Linked DNA regions of Styela clava. The protein of the gene in region 1 purifies or fractionates together with the protein of each later gene. This does not show direct contact. Links are inferred from orthologs where the notes say so. Each region holds a gene or a part of one and is shown in the gene's direction. Other genes may lie near its edges.

Region 1 (7,264 bases):
TATGTTGCATAGTTAAAGTTATAGGATTAACAGCTGTCTTGTTAGCATAAGATTTAGAATGTTATTATTACCAAACAATTGGCTTCTAATAAAGTAATATGTTTATCTGGAAAATCATAATCTTGGTTTTCTGTTCTGCAAAAATGACTTTGACTTCTTGATTAATGAAAACTTTGACACAGACTCTGGGTTTGAGACTCTAATGTATTCTATTTTTAATCAGAATACTTGGCGCAATTTAAATAAATGCAGTTGCTATTTAGGTTTAAAATAATATGGCCCATACTAGGTAACTCGAACGAAACTGGCGATTATGTGAAGGAACAGTGCTAAGGGAGTTGATTAGAATAAGGAAACACTACCACAATTCGTCTTACCAGAACTAATAAATAATGTTCTAATGGTGATAGACACTGCATTTCGCGCGGGCCCAAATACCTAATGAAATTTTCAGATATTCTTAATGAGAATGCTTAGTCAACTCCAAATGTATTTTTTTTTTCAGTTTCCATGAAAGATTTTGAATTTGATGTCAAAAATTTCCCCTTTTGGAGAGTTTGAAAAATGTGACTCTGCAATCAAGACAAACTTGCCAATCTTCATCCCTGCAGCTGTGATTGCAAGTCAATGCAGCATGACCAATCAGAACAATTTTACTCCAATTACTTACTCACTATATCATTCCTATTTTCCAGAATAAATATGACTTACTTGTTGGCTGTTTGACTGAGAATGCTACGCGCTGTGTGTTTTGGTATTTACTGTTGGATTTGTATCGCGTAATACCAACATGAGCAAGGCCCATCCACCGGGATCAAAGAAGTTTATGGATAAGGATTGGATTGCATACCGTGTTTTTGCATAGACTGTTATGAAACATTCAATCTATTTACAAAGCTTGTTTATTTAGTAACAATTTTTTGTTACTGTGTTATTTTTGCACAGAAATTGAACTACAGCATCACCAATGTTCCCTCTAATTTTTTGTAGTATGTGTGCGCAGGAATTTTGGTGTCTGCGCACTTTTTTGGAAATGACTAATATTTGTGCAAAAACCAATGAAGAAATTTTGGCGTTCTAACCGGGTAATGGGTGGGCCAACAACAAACTTTCTCAACCTGCTAACCGAGAATATTGTTACATTACATCGAAATACGTCTGTGCGCAGCCTCTGAAAGCTGTGTGCGCGCGCGCACTTTAGAGGGAACACTGAGCATCACCATTTCGACAAGTGTTTTTTATTCCCTATTTCCATAGAAAAAGCACTGTAGTGTATTTATTAAATTGTATTTATAAATTGGGACCCACCGAGTGTTTATGTTTACACAAGTTTAATGCCCGAACGATACCCGTTCGTGTCTTCGTCTTTTTTATTTTAAATATATGTTTGTGTTGAATGTGGGTTGTATATGCATGTATATTGTCACGGACCATGATGTTGTTACCGTGGTTGTAGAATGAATCAGAAGACTCAAAGGTTCCGGATTGGTTGTTTATTGTTCGGCAATTCCAATATCAGACTTAAAACAACATAAACAGACAACACAACAAAATATAACTAAGGAACCGAAAACACGACCGCCCGCCAGCGCGGCAGCCGGAGAAGAGAGATCGAAAGACAGTTTTTGCCTCACATGTAGTGAGTGGTCGGAGTCCAAATCCGACAAAACAGCATTAAATAAATGTCAACATAACAGTCTACGGACCTTTCCCCGAGTATCGACTTCCTTGTTTATTTCGTGACATTGGCCAATCAGCAAGATGCGAAGAGTGACGTAACAATGCCCCCCTTTTCGCATCCGCTCAGACACTTTTCTCACTCAGACAGATTTTCAAGGCTGGTTGTAAACATTACCTCGTTTTCGCGTTTTTGAACTCTATTCGTTAGTTTTTAGTTGTATTTCAGAAACTTAAATAAAAATCAGATGATTCAATGATCACGCTGTCTTCCTAGGAGTTTTAATTTAATTGCAGTGATAAAAATTATTGTAGAAATAGCTGTGATAGACTAGCCTGAAATTCTTTACCGGTACTTTTAAAAAACAGTATGTTGTATGCGATGAATCATAATGATGGTTTGAAACACATACCCCATTTTACAGGCGCCAACTCGCAAAAGCACTCTTAAAATAGCCCTGAAAATTTTGCAATGGTAAAGTATAGGAAGAATTTTTCGAGGGTCAAAGGTCGGGGAAAGGTCCATAAACATAAAAATATATATATACACAAAACATAAACGCGGACACTTTAGTCCGCGACAATATCTACAAAGATTTTGCCAGTTTCCCCGATTTTCTCTTCTTCTGTGTGTTCATTGTTTGTGTTTCGTGTATGATTTTTGTGTGGGAAAATCTAAATATACTTATACTTTGAATGAAAATGATAGTTTTTAATGCGTGAGCCTGTTTGTAAGCGCCAACTCTCCTGAACACTCTCAAAATCAGCGTTGAAAATGTTGCATTGATGAAGTATATATATATGATTCTATTACAAAAAATCGTTTTGTCGGCAGTTGACAATATCGTTATAATTCAAAGTATGAGTCAAAAGGTTACATATACCATACTACATAAAATGCCAGAAAACTGAGCGCAAAATATTTAGAACATCTGAAAATAAATTTGTTTTAGTGACGTTTTATTCCAAATGGATGATAACTGCACGCAAACTCGCGTATCGTCATTTTTTTCCCCCTTATTCAAGTACCCAAGATTGTGTTTGTAGCAATCTTGAACTTTTTATCCTATTTAACCCATCTTTAAAAATAGATATAGTAATCACATTTTCGTAATATATTCACTTGAGCGCATTCTTCATACCAGGTCAAAGGTTATTGAAATATGTTATGTCATGTTTCCATGAATAGACAATTTTGCAAAGGAATGCGGGGAGCAAGCGTCAGTATCGCCATGGTTATATCGCGTTGTGGGATGTCAGAGGCGATAATATTTATGATTCTTTTCAAGTGGCATTCATATAAATAAACATGTCTATTTAATCGATATAGCAGGCTTGATTTTATGTCAAAGGGCCATTTAAACATATAACAAAGGCGGTCTCGCGAGCCCTGCCTTTATTACATTCTTTGAGTAAAATTATACCCGGCCTTTTGTCTGACTTTAATTGTTAGCTAAGGCGCTCTGTCGGCGAAGGAAGTCGGCATACATCTGGAGGCTGAATATCATATGTTTATGATTAAAATTGTATCAAATGGGAATGTTTTTATGTAATTATGAAACATGTTAAAGGTTGGACTAAATGACCTTGCGAGCCACAATTTTTCCGACTTCTTACTTGTGAGAGCTAGCACCATTTTACGGTTAAAAGTCTATCTAAGTGGGTTTATTTAACAAAAATGAAGAAGCCAAAACTTTTTGTGGCAAATAGGAGATATAGGCTATTTGCAGGTCACTCGAAGAACTGCTGTACTTGCTTATGTTATAATTCTCTAATAGTTAAAGGCAGTAAATATTTTGTCGGAGTCAGGAAAGAGTAGTTATGTTGCATAGTTAAAGTTATAGGATTAACAGCTGTCTTGTTAGCATAAGATTTAGAATGTTATTATTACCAAACAATTGGCTTCTAATAAAGTAATATGTTTATCTGGAAAATCATAATCTTGGTTTTCTGTTCTGCAAAAATGACTTTGACTTCTTGATTAATGAAAACTTTGACACAGACTCTGGGTTTGAGACTCTAATGTATTCTATTTTTAATCAGAATACTTGGCGCAATTTAAATAAATGCAGTTGCTATTTAGGTTTAAAATAATATGGCCCATACTAGGTAACTCGAACGAAACTGGCGATTATGTGAAGGAACAGTGCTAAGGGAGTTGATTAGAATAAGGAAACACTACCACAATTCGTCTTACCAGAACTAATAAATAATGTTCTAATGGTGATAGACACTGCATTTCGCGCGGGCCCAAATACCTAATGAAATTTTCAGATATTCTTAATGAGAATGCTTAGTCAACTCCAAATGTATTTTTTTTTTCAGTTTCCATGAAAGATTTTGAATTTGATGTCAAAAATTTCCCCTTTTGGAGAGTTTGAAAAATGTGACTCTGCAATCAAGACAAACTTGCCAATCTTCATCCCTGCAGCTGTGATTGCAAGTCAATGCAGCATGACCAATCAGAACAATTTTACTCCAATTACTTACTCACTATATCATTCCTATTTTCCAGAATAAATATGACCGATTTGATAGTAAATATGTCAGCTGGAGTTTCAAACGAAGAAATTTGTAATTTTGCTTACGACGGACAACAAGCTCTACTGCAATACAGAATATCACAGAAGCCACAGTTTGTCAATATTAAGGTGACTTCTCATTTTCATTACTTATCGATCTTAAGATCGGTAAGTATATTGATAGGTATTTGTCTGTATGTCTGTGTGTGTGTCTGTTAGATGCACGCGATATCTCACGAAAGCGAGATTGAATCTGCTCCAGATTTTGCATGTGCATTCATCTTATCTCGGACCAGAAGCCTATTGATTTTGGGCGAATTATGTCGTATAATTAGCGAGTTATCAATCAATTATTGATATAGTGATCTAGATTTTTGTAAAGCGAGAGAATTTTGAAACCCGCCGAGTGTGTGTGTGCGATGCGCAGTGCGCAAGTTACAAGAGCGGATGAATCGAAACTGCAGTTTCTGTTTTGGGGGATCCCCTAACTATCGATCGATAAGTCTTCGGTTTCCAACCGATATTCTCGTTTTATATTTTAATTGGTAAAGATGATTCAAGATTCTTGCAGTATACACGCATATATTATGTCAGGGGTTCTCAATGTTTTGGTGTTACTATTGTTTACGGAACCCCACAATAAATTTATAAAAATAAAAAAACACATTGTTATTTACCGATTATTGCTCCTGAGTAAACTGAAATTACTTTATTTAATGATTCAAATGTATTCGCTGCTTAGTTTTAAAAAAAAATATTCCTCTGAGTTTCTCTCACAGAGCCCTGGGGCTTCGTTTGGTTCACTTCAAGAACCTATGTATTATGTTACGTTTCATTTGACCAGAATCAAATTCCTTCCTACAAACATATTTTAGTTGTTTAGTTACTTATATTTTTATTATATATTTCTGTGGTATATTTACCAGATAAATTCACACAAGCCACTTTAAATATATAGGAATTAAATTTGGTAGAATAGTAGCGCTAGGGATGAACATCATTTTGATTAGTTTTCGTTTTTACAGTGTCAAAAGTTAAACTAAGCCATAATAAAATAAATTCATGTGAATATTCTGTTAAAATCTTTCCTGGACCAAGAATCACTTATAAATGCAATTGATCCGAATTTGTTTGAATTTCCAATAATATGCTTTGGGCATTTCGGACTGTCACTCACCATATAGGCCTACATATGATAAGTATCAGAATAGCTAATTAATAGTACCAGTATGAGTGACAATTATTGCTGTTTTATTAAGCCATGTCTTGTTTTGTCTGAAGAAATTAGACTATGATCTATTGAAAGCTCACAAATATACTTGCCATTTCGTGGAAAGAGATTATGTTATTCTTATTTAATCATTCTTCTTATTTTACAAGCTAAGAGTTATTGGGAAAGTATGGTTCGCCATATAATTACCTCATTTGATCTTTCCCTTCAGGCAAATAAGAAAATGTTTTCCTATTTTAGGACCAAACAGATCGAACACCACTACATTGGGCAACGTCTGCTGGGAAGCGAGACATTGCTGATTTCCTATTGGACAATGGAGCTGATGTGAATGCAAAGGATGACAGTGATTGGTCAGCTCTTCACATTGCTTCGTCAAATGGGAATGAAGAGATCGCTTTTGCACTGATGTCAAGAGGTGCTGCGATAAATGCAAGAAACTCAACAGGACAGACTCCTTTGCATTATGCTGCATCGAGAGATCGGTAATTTTGTTACTCAAAATTTACTTCGTGTACTATTTGGTTTTTTTTTATAGGCAATATAAATGAAAGAGGGTTTTTTTCAATAAATAATTTATATAATTAAGATATACAGTAATACTAAACAAAATGCCCCATATGCTCAAGTAGTTGGTCAAATAAAATGGGTCTGGTTTGAGAATAAGAATGTGGAACAAATTATTCGCCCCAGATGGTAATGAACATGGCATTTTTGATTTCCTTCATTAATTAATGATTTAAACAAGCCACAAAAAGCAGTTATTCAATGTTCTAAGCTACAGTGGCTCTTAAATAATGCATTTTATTTAAAGATAATAGTTAATATTAGAGACTATTCCTTGTGTAACAAATGAAAAACCTGTGCATTTATTAAGCATCTTTGGGTGAAGGTATCGGATCTTAATACCAGTGACAATTTATTCAGAATGTATTTGAGGGGACATAAAACCCACTTTGCTTCCATCTTTTTGCCTGTCACACTCTCATGTAATAGAATTCTTTGTGACTTGGGGTATCCTGCTCATCTCAACTTTCTTTTACCTAGGATCATGTATGAAAAATTATTCCATTCTGACATGATATTTGCTTTTACAGATACAAAATTGCAGAGGGTTTACTCGCCCGCGGGGCAGAAACAGACGTAGCGGATCATCTCCACGCAACACCGTTACATCGAGCTGCTTCACGAGGGAACACTAAGATGGTGAAGCTACTACTTGCATACAACACAAACTACAATTGTACTGATTCAGAGGGGAACACTGCTCTACATTTAGCTTGCGAAGAGGATCGTGTCGACATAGCACAAACACTCATCTCAGCTGGCGCTGATACTACAATTCGTAATAAAAATGATAAAACACCAATAAGCCTGGCATCAGACACGACACGTGGTATACTTAGGCGTGTAAGAGAAGCGTAAATAAACACTATTCATTTCCCTTTTATCCCCGGTTGTTCTAATCGACTTTTAAGTGAGTACTTTATGTCAAACTAGAACAGCAAACTACCCATGGGTCTACTAATCAGTCCAGCTTTCAAAAAAATTTCATCTCCAACTTCAAACCAACTTTTAATAACAAAAACTTTCAAGAATGCAAGCTTTCGTGAGCAGACTTTATAACCTTTATCTGAAGAAAATTTGTAGACTTGTATGATGTTAATTTAGATTGTATTCAGAGCCTGCTTAAATACCGGTAATCAATTTATTTTACTTCAAAACAATATTATCCATCACGTTTTTGATTTTATACCACTTTTTCGTTTGATAATTCAGTTATGACGCATTCTCGCCGCTTATTGAAACCCTGAATGAGCACATTTTGTATTCC
Region 2 (7,451 bases), on another chromosome or scaffold:
CCAAAGTTATTCAAAATGTTGAAGATAAAATAGATAGGATATTTGAAGAAACAAAATTTTCCACTGCAAAAAGTTCAAGCTATAATTCAGCACAAAAAGACGATATACCTTCTCAAGATGAAGAAAGTATCCCTGAAGAATTACCTGAATCACCAGGAGAAACGACAAAAAGTCAAGGACTCTTGGAAAGCTTGTTAGAAACAATACAACAACTTGAAGCTGAGCCTGAGCAACTAACAAAAATAGAAACTAATGGTAAACTTGATGAAAAGCTTGCGTGGATAGATGAAATGCAGGCAGATCACTTGAGCTCTGTATCCAATTCAAAAGTTTCTGGCAGTGCTCGTGGTGCTGGTGATTTCATAGATGGTACAAAACCGGTACAAGACAGCACAAACAACTTGTTAACAAAAGCTAAACTTAGCAATCTCATGGAGTTTTTGGATAATGTAGAGAAACAGGATGAAAAGTATGAGGCAGCGCGCTCTCACACTAGTCATGTCTCAGAACACAGACATCAAGAAATTTCAGAATCTGATAAAATGGCTGAATTAGTTCAAGCAGAGAAAGCTGCTTCTCAAGTTACAACAGAGTTGCTAAAATTACGTCTGAATGTGGACGAAAAGACAAAAAGTGTGGATTTGCTAAAGAAAGCACTTGCACAGCAACGTGAATTGACAGTTCGTCATGCACATGAACAGGAAAAAGAAATGAACCAACGATTGAAAATGCAGAAAGAGCAATATGAATCAACAATCCAAAGGCATCTTTCTTTCATCGATCAACTAATTGATGACAAAAAAGTTCTTGGTGAAAAATGTGAAAGGGTTGTTATTGAAATGAAGCAAGCTGAAAGTAAATATCAGAAAAAGATAAAAGAACTTCAAGAGGCCCATGCTATTGAAGTCCGAAAGCAAAAAGAAGTATTATCGGCTGCTGAGAAGTTGCGAAGAGAAAAATGGATTGAGGATAAGACAAAAACTATAAAAGAAATGACTGTAAAAGGATTGGAACCTGAGATACAAAGGTTAATAGCTAAACATAAACAGGAAGTAAAAAAAATAAAAGCAATTCATGAAGCAGAGTTACTGCAATCAGATGAGAGAGCCGGTCAAAGATATATTCGACAAACTGAGGAGTTGCGTGAACATCTCGAACGGGAAAAAGATGCAGCTTGCAATCGAGAAAGAGAAATGGCAAGACAGAGATATGAAAAGCAACTTGAACAAGAAGAAATTGCTCTGCAGCAACAAAGAAGAAGATTGTATGCTGAAGTATCCGATGAAAAAGAAAGGCTGAATGAGCAAGCTGCTCGACAACGAGCTGACATTGATCGCCTAAAAGAACAATTGGAAAAACATAACAGCCTTGCCACCTCCGCACTAACAGATGAATATGAGAAAAGCAAAGAGGAAGCTGAACGACGCCATACAGTGGAAATCGAAACTCTGAAAGAACGGTTGGAATTAGAAAAACAAGCCTGGCAAGAAACTTATATGAAAAAGCAGGAAGCATATGTTCTCCAAAAAGAAAGAGAATTGAAAGATGCAGTACGACAAGATCGTGATTCTGAAATTGAAACTGTAATAGAACAGCTTGAAAAGGACATGGGTGTACAAAGAAGTCAAATCGAAAAAACAGCTGAAAATAGAATCAAGAGAATACGGGAAAAGTATGAATCGGAACTCAAAGAGATTGAAGTTTTGGAACGACAGACTCATGAAAAATACAACAACATGAAAGTGCAATATTCTGACATGGAGGGTGAAAATATGAGGCTGAAAAGCACAATTGCTCATAAGGAACAAGAAATCTTAGATGTGAAAAAGGTGAAAAACAGACTTGTGGAAGAAAGAGGGAACGTCACAGATATAGTTCGTGACGAATTTGCTGAGCGGCTAGTACACACAGAGGAAGAAAATAAGAGGATGAAGAATGAAATCGCACAAATGCGAGCTCGACACCGGTTGGAACTGGATCGAGTAAACCAAGAAAAAGAAGAGGAGCTTGCTGAAGTACACAAAAGAGTGAAAGCAGCAATTGTGAAAAAAGAAGAATCAGTTGCACAAATAAAACAACAGCATGAGTCCGCAGTTAAGCGTGCTGATCATCTAGAAGGCTTGTTGGAAGCACAACGAAAACAACTCCTTGGCAGGAAGAAATAGCAATATCTCCTGGTTAATAGAATTCACCATCAAATATCTTGCCTGGTCCAGCTTAAGGTCTTTGATTTTCAGCCCTGAGCCTAACATAATGTCATCGGTATAACCTTGTAGCTCCAGCTTTGTCCAAAGCTCAAATCGTTCATTTGGTCACTACATTGTCACATTGATGGTTTTATACATGCCCTACCTGGACTGTTTTGGTAGTTTGGGCGACACATGTGCCTTGTTCTGTATTTTAGCATAGCAGCGTTTTATCCCTCACAGAGAATAGAGAATATATTTTTGTACTAAAATGATTACTCAATTTCACCATGGGTATCATGTTTTACTGAAATGTTTTATTTTTTAGTTATTGCAAATTTTGATATATTTGATACATTATAATAGTTACTTTTCATTGTGCCGGCTCTTTTAAAATGGGAAGGTGAAAGAGGCAGGATAAGTGAGTAGTTCATTCGGATTGAGCACAGAAAGTAAGTAGGGTACGGCATTAAATATTAGGTCAGGGGGGGGGGGGGGCACAATGCTAGGCGTAAAACTGATTTTACTATCCACTTCTCAAGAAAACTCTCCGTTCTTCCTAGTTTCGTTGCTTGATGAGGTTATTTCACATGGTGTTCCTCCCTTTTTTAGTGCATGAATTGTTTGAACATAATGGAACTTGGAATCTACCAATCAAAATAACACTGGAATGATAAACAAACAGCGTGGCCACGAGCCATAAAAGGTTGGGAACCACTGTAAGAGGTGGTCTTGGAACATCACTTCATTTGCAATCTAATTGATTTTGGAATCATATAAATATCAAAATTGGGTATTATTCTTTTATTTCCTCAATCCGTTGGGAGAAGTTATTTTCCCGGCTTCCCTTTTTATACTTTGCTTATATCTCAAGAAAACAAGGATCAAAGAAAACGACAAACAATTAATAGGACGATAACAGCCCATTTTGACAGGCATTCGTTATGGGATAATGTTTCTAAGCGAATGCGGATATGCACATCCGTCTATGTGTATCACATTGCAGGCTTTCTCAATAGGATTGTGTTGAGATTTAAAACATAGACGTTCACTTTTAAAAATTTTATTCCATAGCAAAATGCTATTGGCACATAGAAAATAAGACTTACAATTCAATTACCTTCATACATAGATCTAGCATGAACTGAAATTACACAACTGCAACAGTTAAAAATGACAGAATGAAGGTAATTAGAGCCACAGGAAACTATGCATTTTATTTTGCTCAATATTAACAGATATACTATTTCCCAATGATATGCTAAGTTAAAATACATATGGTTCGCAATGCCACTTTGGGGGTATAGAAACAATAGTGTCAAACCATCACTATTGGAGGTAAGCAGTCACTGTTTAGCTTGTTTTGCAATCAAGTATTTAAGTAGTACATGTTTGGAAGCTACACTAGATCAAAGTAGGGTATACAAACATAAATAAAAATCGCTCTTACAACTTACCGAAAACAGCACAAACAAAAAGAAACTATGATAAACGCTGTTTTCGATAATTAGCAAGACCGAAAATAGATCGAAATGTTTTTATAAGTCTATGCACAATCACGGATTGTTAAATCAGTTTTTTTGTGGTTGGTATTAGTTCATTAAAAATCATTGAATCCTTTCCAATGCTTCCAACATTAATATCGAATTTCCGCGAACGACCACCATTCCGACGGGTGCAGTGGTCCCGTCTTTTCTGCGCTCTGTTCCATCATCCACAACTAGATTCATGAAAGGATCGAATCCTCGCAAAACTCCCGTAACAGATCGTCCACCATTCAACTTTAAATCCAATCTTTTATCCATAAACTTCTTCAATTCTGGTGGATGGGCCTTGCTCATCTTGATATTACGCGATACAATCCAACAGCAAATACCGAAACATACAGTGCGCAGAAAGTGAACTGAGCGCAATCAAAACGCGCGTCCTTATTTTAAGAAGTAGCTTGCTTCTCCCCCTAGCGTTTGAGCTCATCAAAAAGAATATGGAGTAAATGATGCAATATGCTTACTCTGGTCTTAACTTATTTATTAATTAATTATTTAATCATAAAATATACAAATAGGAAAAATATTCAACCAAAATTGTATTTATTTCCTAAAAAACTACCCGTAACGCTCCAGTGGCAAAAGTATGAGTAAGCATCTAATATATTTGCATTGTCAGATTTTGTTGTTCTGTCGTTTCAGAAGGGACGGATTTACATTTAGAGGTCTGGAAGTTACGTACTGTGCCGTACCTTGAAACTCCAAGCTATCATCATATATTTTTCTATTAGAACACAATTTTTTAGAAATTAAATCGCTGTCGCAGTAGTATAATTGAAGATGGCACCTCCGGCAATTGATGAGAAGCTAAAAAGTCCTACTGGAGACGAACAACAAATGGATATGTTTGACAGTGTCGAGGTGAGAAAACCGCAAACAATGTTAGATAAAATTTTGATGAGGCACTAATAATCAACATTACTTATTTTTTTGTATATTTTTTTTCACTGAGTAATTGATTTTAATACTTTTACTTTTAATACTACTACTTCTTTTAACAATACCTTTCCATCTAAAATCTGTATGCTTCAAACCCTAATTAAGATTTTGTTTGCTCTCCTGATTCTATAATCAGTTTTGTTTTCAATTATATTATCGTCTATTATGCTGATTATAGAGTCGAAATGAACTTATACTCATACTTAACAGTTAGCCTATGCTGGCTATATAGTCAGAAAATGAATATATATAACATATATACTTTCATGCTATAAGTTACCTAAAAGTTGAATGCCCAGTCTCTGAATTAAGGTTTTGATTTGTCAGTTTGTTGCCAAATTCGAAAAACTTTGAATATTGCTTTTTGGATTTAAATACCGGTAGTGTACCGGTAATAGTTATTAACTCCACACGACCACACACTTGAGTAACAGGTTTAAAGGTTGATAAAAATCACTATTTTTTATTTTATATTATTAAAAAATTTCAATTTCAGCGTGTTTTGAGCTTGCCATCCAATGATGCCTGTTTAACTTTGTATATGACTTTTTTAGGAAGCACTCGGTGAAGAAGTTATGAAAATGAGCAATGAGGAAATTGCAAGTCGAACGAAACTTCTTGATAATGAAATTAAGGTTTTCTTCATATTATTTTACCTTAAATAATATATTCACAAACAATTTATTTACGGTATATAGATATTTATATAATGCTCTTTGTTCTCAATTTTTTTTTTTAATCCCTCATTTTCAAACTGTTTGACAGAACTTTAGTGCCAAATTTTTGTTTTCACTGTGTAAGAATGCTTCGGAGCAAAATATACCTTATGTTGAATTGCTTTCCAGATTATGCGAAGTGAGACGATGAGAATATCACATGAATTGCAAGCTATGAAAGACAAAATAAAGGAAAATGCTGAAAAAATTAAAGTTAACAAAACGCTGCCATATCTTGTCTCAAATGTCATTGAGGTATGTATGATGTTGAAACTTGAAACTTCACTCTATATATTTTTTCTAGCCAGGAGGTTGGTACATCATGCTAAGAGAGGGGAATACGCTTGCCATCCCAACCTTCGATTTCTCTGCAAGGATTCGATTGCTTTGGGACATATGTAGGTACTCTTAGCCATCGTAGGGTGGTTCGCATAACCGCTGGTTGGGTACGGCAAATCCAAGTTCATTATCTGAATAAACTATTGCCATACCCGACATGGACTGGTAACTGGATGAGAGGCAGTGGTTTGGCAAAGGGATAACGCCGCCCTAAAGTCTCTCTGCTCCCCCAAGATAAATATGATATTCCTATTCTAAAAATCAAAAGATGCTTTTATGAACTGACATCAACTAATCTCATGTCATATTGATTGGTTATCATTATCAATGAATAACCCTTTTAAATCTTCTCTAAACGACTTTAATTACCGTATTTACAAAACAATGAAAAAATGAAATATTTCAGCTTCTTGATGTTGATCCTCAAGAGCAAGCGGAAGAGGACGGAGCAAATGTTGATTTAGATTCTCAGCGCAAGGGGAAATGTGCAGTGATTAAAACATCAACTAGACAAGTATGCCATCTGATTTTATATATATAGCATGTTATGTGTATACACTAATTCAGTGGTGCCCAAACTTTTTGTTCGGGAGCGCCAAATTATCAGGGAAAAAACTTTTAGAAAAAAACTGCTACCATCAAATAAAACTCAATTTTATGATCGTTAATGTGTACTTCATACCTTTTAAAGTTAGTAAATATGTAGGCCTAAGGAATAAAGGTAAAAGGTAAACTCTTCTTCCTCATCTCTGCCTGATTTTCCTCTGGAATGGTGAAAAAATCACTCATGTTTGCTAAACTCGAGTCAGCAGAATGATGAAAAAATCACTCATGTTGGCTAAACTCGATTCAGCAGATAAATAAACTGCAGCTCGCGAAATTCCAGTAGGTAGTGTCTATTTCTATCTTTATGTAACAATAGAGGCAGACACTACATAACAGAAAGTAAATTTGTTGTGGCTCAATTAGCGTCTCTTTGGAAACCGCTGCACTAGTTAGATATTGAGAGAACAATATAACTGAATCTGTTTCATTTATTTAAGTGAGTGTATGTAAACGGCCAGATCATTAGCAAACAGTCATTCATTAGAGGCTTTCAAATTTTGATTCTTCATTTTAATATAATTTATATCCGTTTTATGGTTTGATGAATCAATATATTCTCTCTTTTTGTTTTTAGACGTACTTCCTGCCTGTGATTGGTCTTGTTGAACCAGAAGATATGTCTCCTGGTGATCTTGTGGTAAGATTAATAATAGTGTTTGCCAGGTTGCTTCTGAAACAGATTTAAAAAATCTGGAATATAAACTTTGATTTATATACAGGTTGAATGACTGACTTTATTGCATTGACTGTGTGTGTTATATTTCGAAGTTTAAAATCCGGTACTGTACTCTAGTAACCGGTCCGGTAGTATGTGAACCAAGATGGCGGACACCGGAACGTAGTACGTGTGTGTGCCATGTTGGGTTTGGCCATGATTTTATTTCAATTTTCCTTATTTTAGTCCTATTACTAGTTCAGGGACTAGCCAAGTGACTCCCGTAGTATTTGTCCCTGGAATTATGGCCCCTGGAATTATGGCCTAACCCTAACCTTGCACTCGTACTACGTTCCGGTGTCCACCATCTTGGTTCACATACTACGGGAGGTCCCAAAATCCTACATGGCCATTTCGTTTTCAAATCGGAATCTTAATTTTTTTTTAATTTACTAAAGTTGAT

What was found. Proteins that work in one complex are often made in the same cells at the same time.
Region 2: the proteins of uncharacterized protein LOC120332416 (region 1) and 26S proteasome regulatory subunit 6A-B purify together in Homo sapiens (co-immunoprecipitation; 7 studies listed by BioGRID and IntAct, counting the BioPlex papers as one, with this or other methods). This does not show direct contact. The link is inferred for Styela clava from reciprocal best matches to the Homo sapiens genes PSMD10 and PSMC3.

The regions. Positions count from the first base shown.
Region 1 is NC_135262.1:2,711,168-2,718,431, forward strand, and holds the start of uncharacterized protein LOC120332416, read left to right. Parts: upstream 1-4,196; 5' UTR 4,197-4,199; coding exon 4,200-4,328; intron 4,329-5,670; coding exon 5,671-5,915; intron 5,916-6,527; coding exon 6,528-6,855; 3' UTR 6,856-7,264. UniProt on the Homo sapiens protein: Acts as a chaperone during the assembly of the 26S proteasome, specifically of the PA700/19S regulatory complex (RC).
Region 2 is NC_135255.1:6,372,386-6,379,836, forward strand, and holds the start of 26S proteasome regulatory subunit 6A-B, read left to right. Parts: upstream 1-4,360; 5' UTR 4,361-4,513; coding exon 4,514-4,594; intron 4,595-5,226; coding exon 5,227-5,307; intron 5,308-5,517; coding exon 5,518-5,643; intron 5,644-6,133; coding exon 6,134-6,241; intron 6,242-6,907; coding exon 6,908-6,970; intron 6,971-7,451. Other genes in the region: centrosomal protein of 131 kDa-like, read left to right, coding at 1-2,165; putative small nuclear ribonucleoprotein G, read right to left, coding at 3,794-4,027.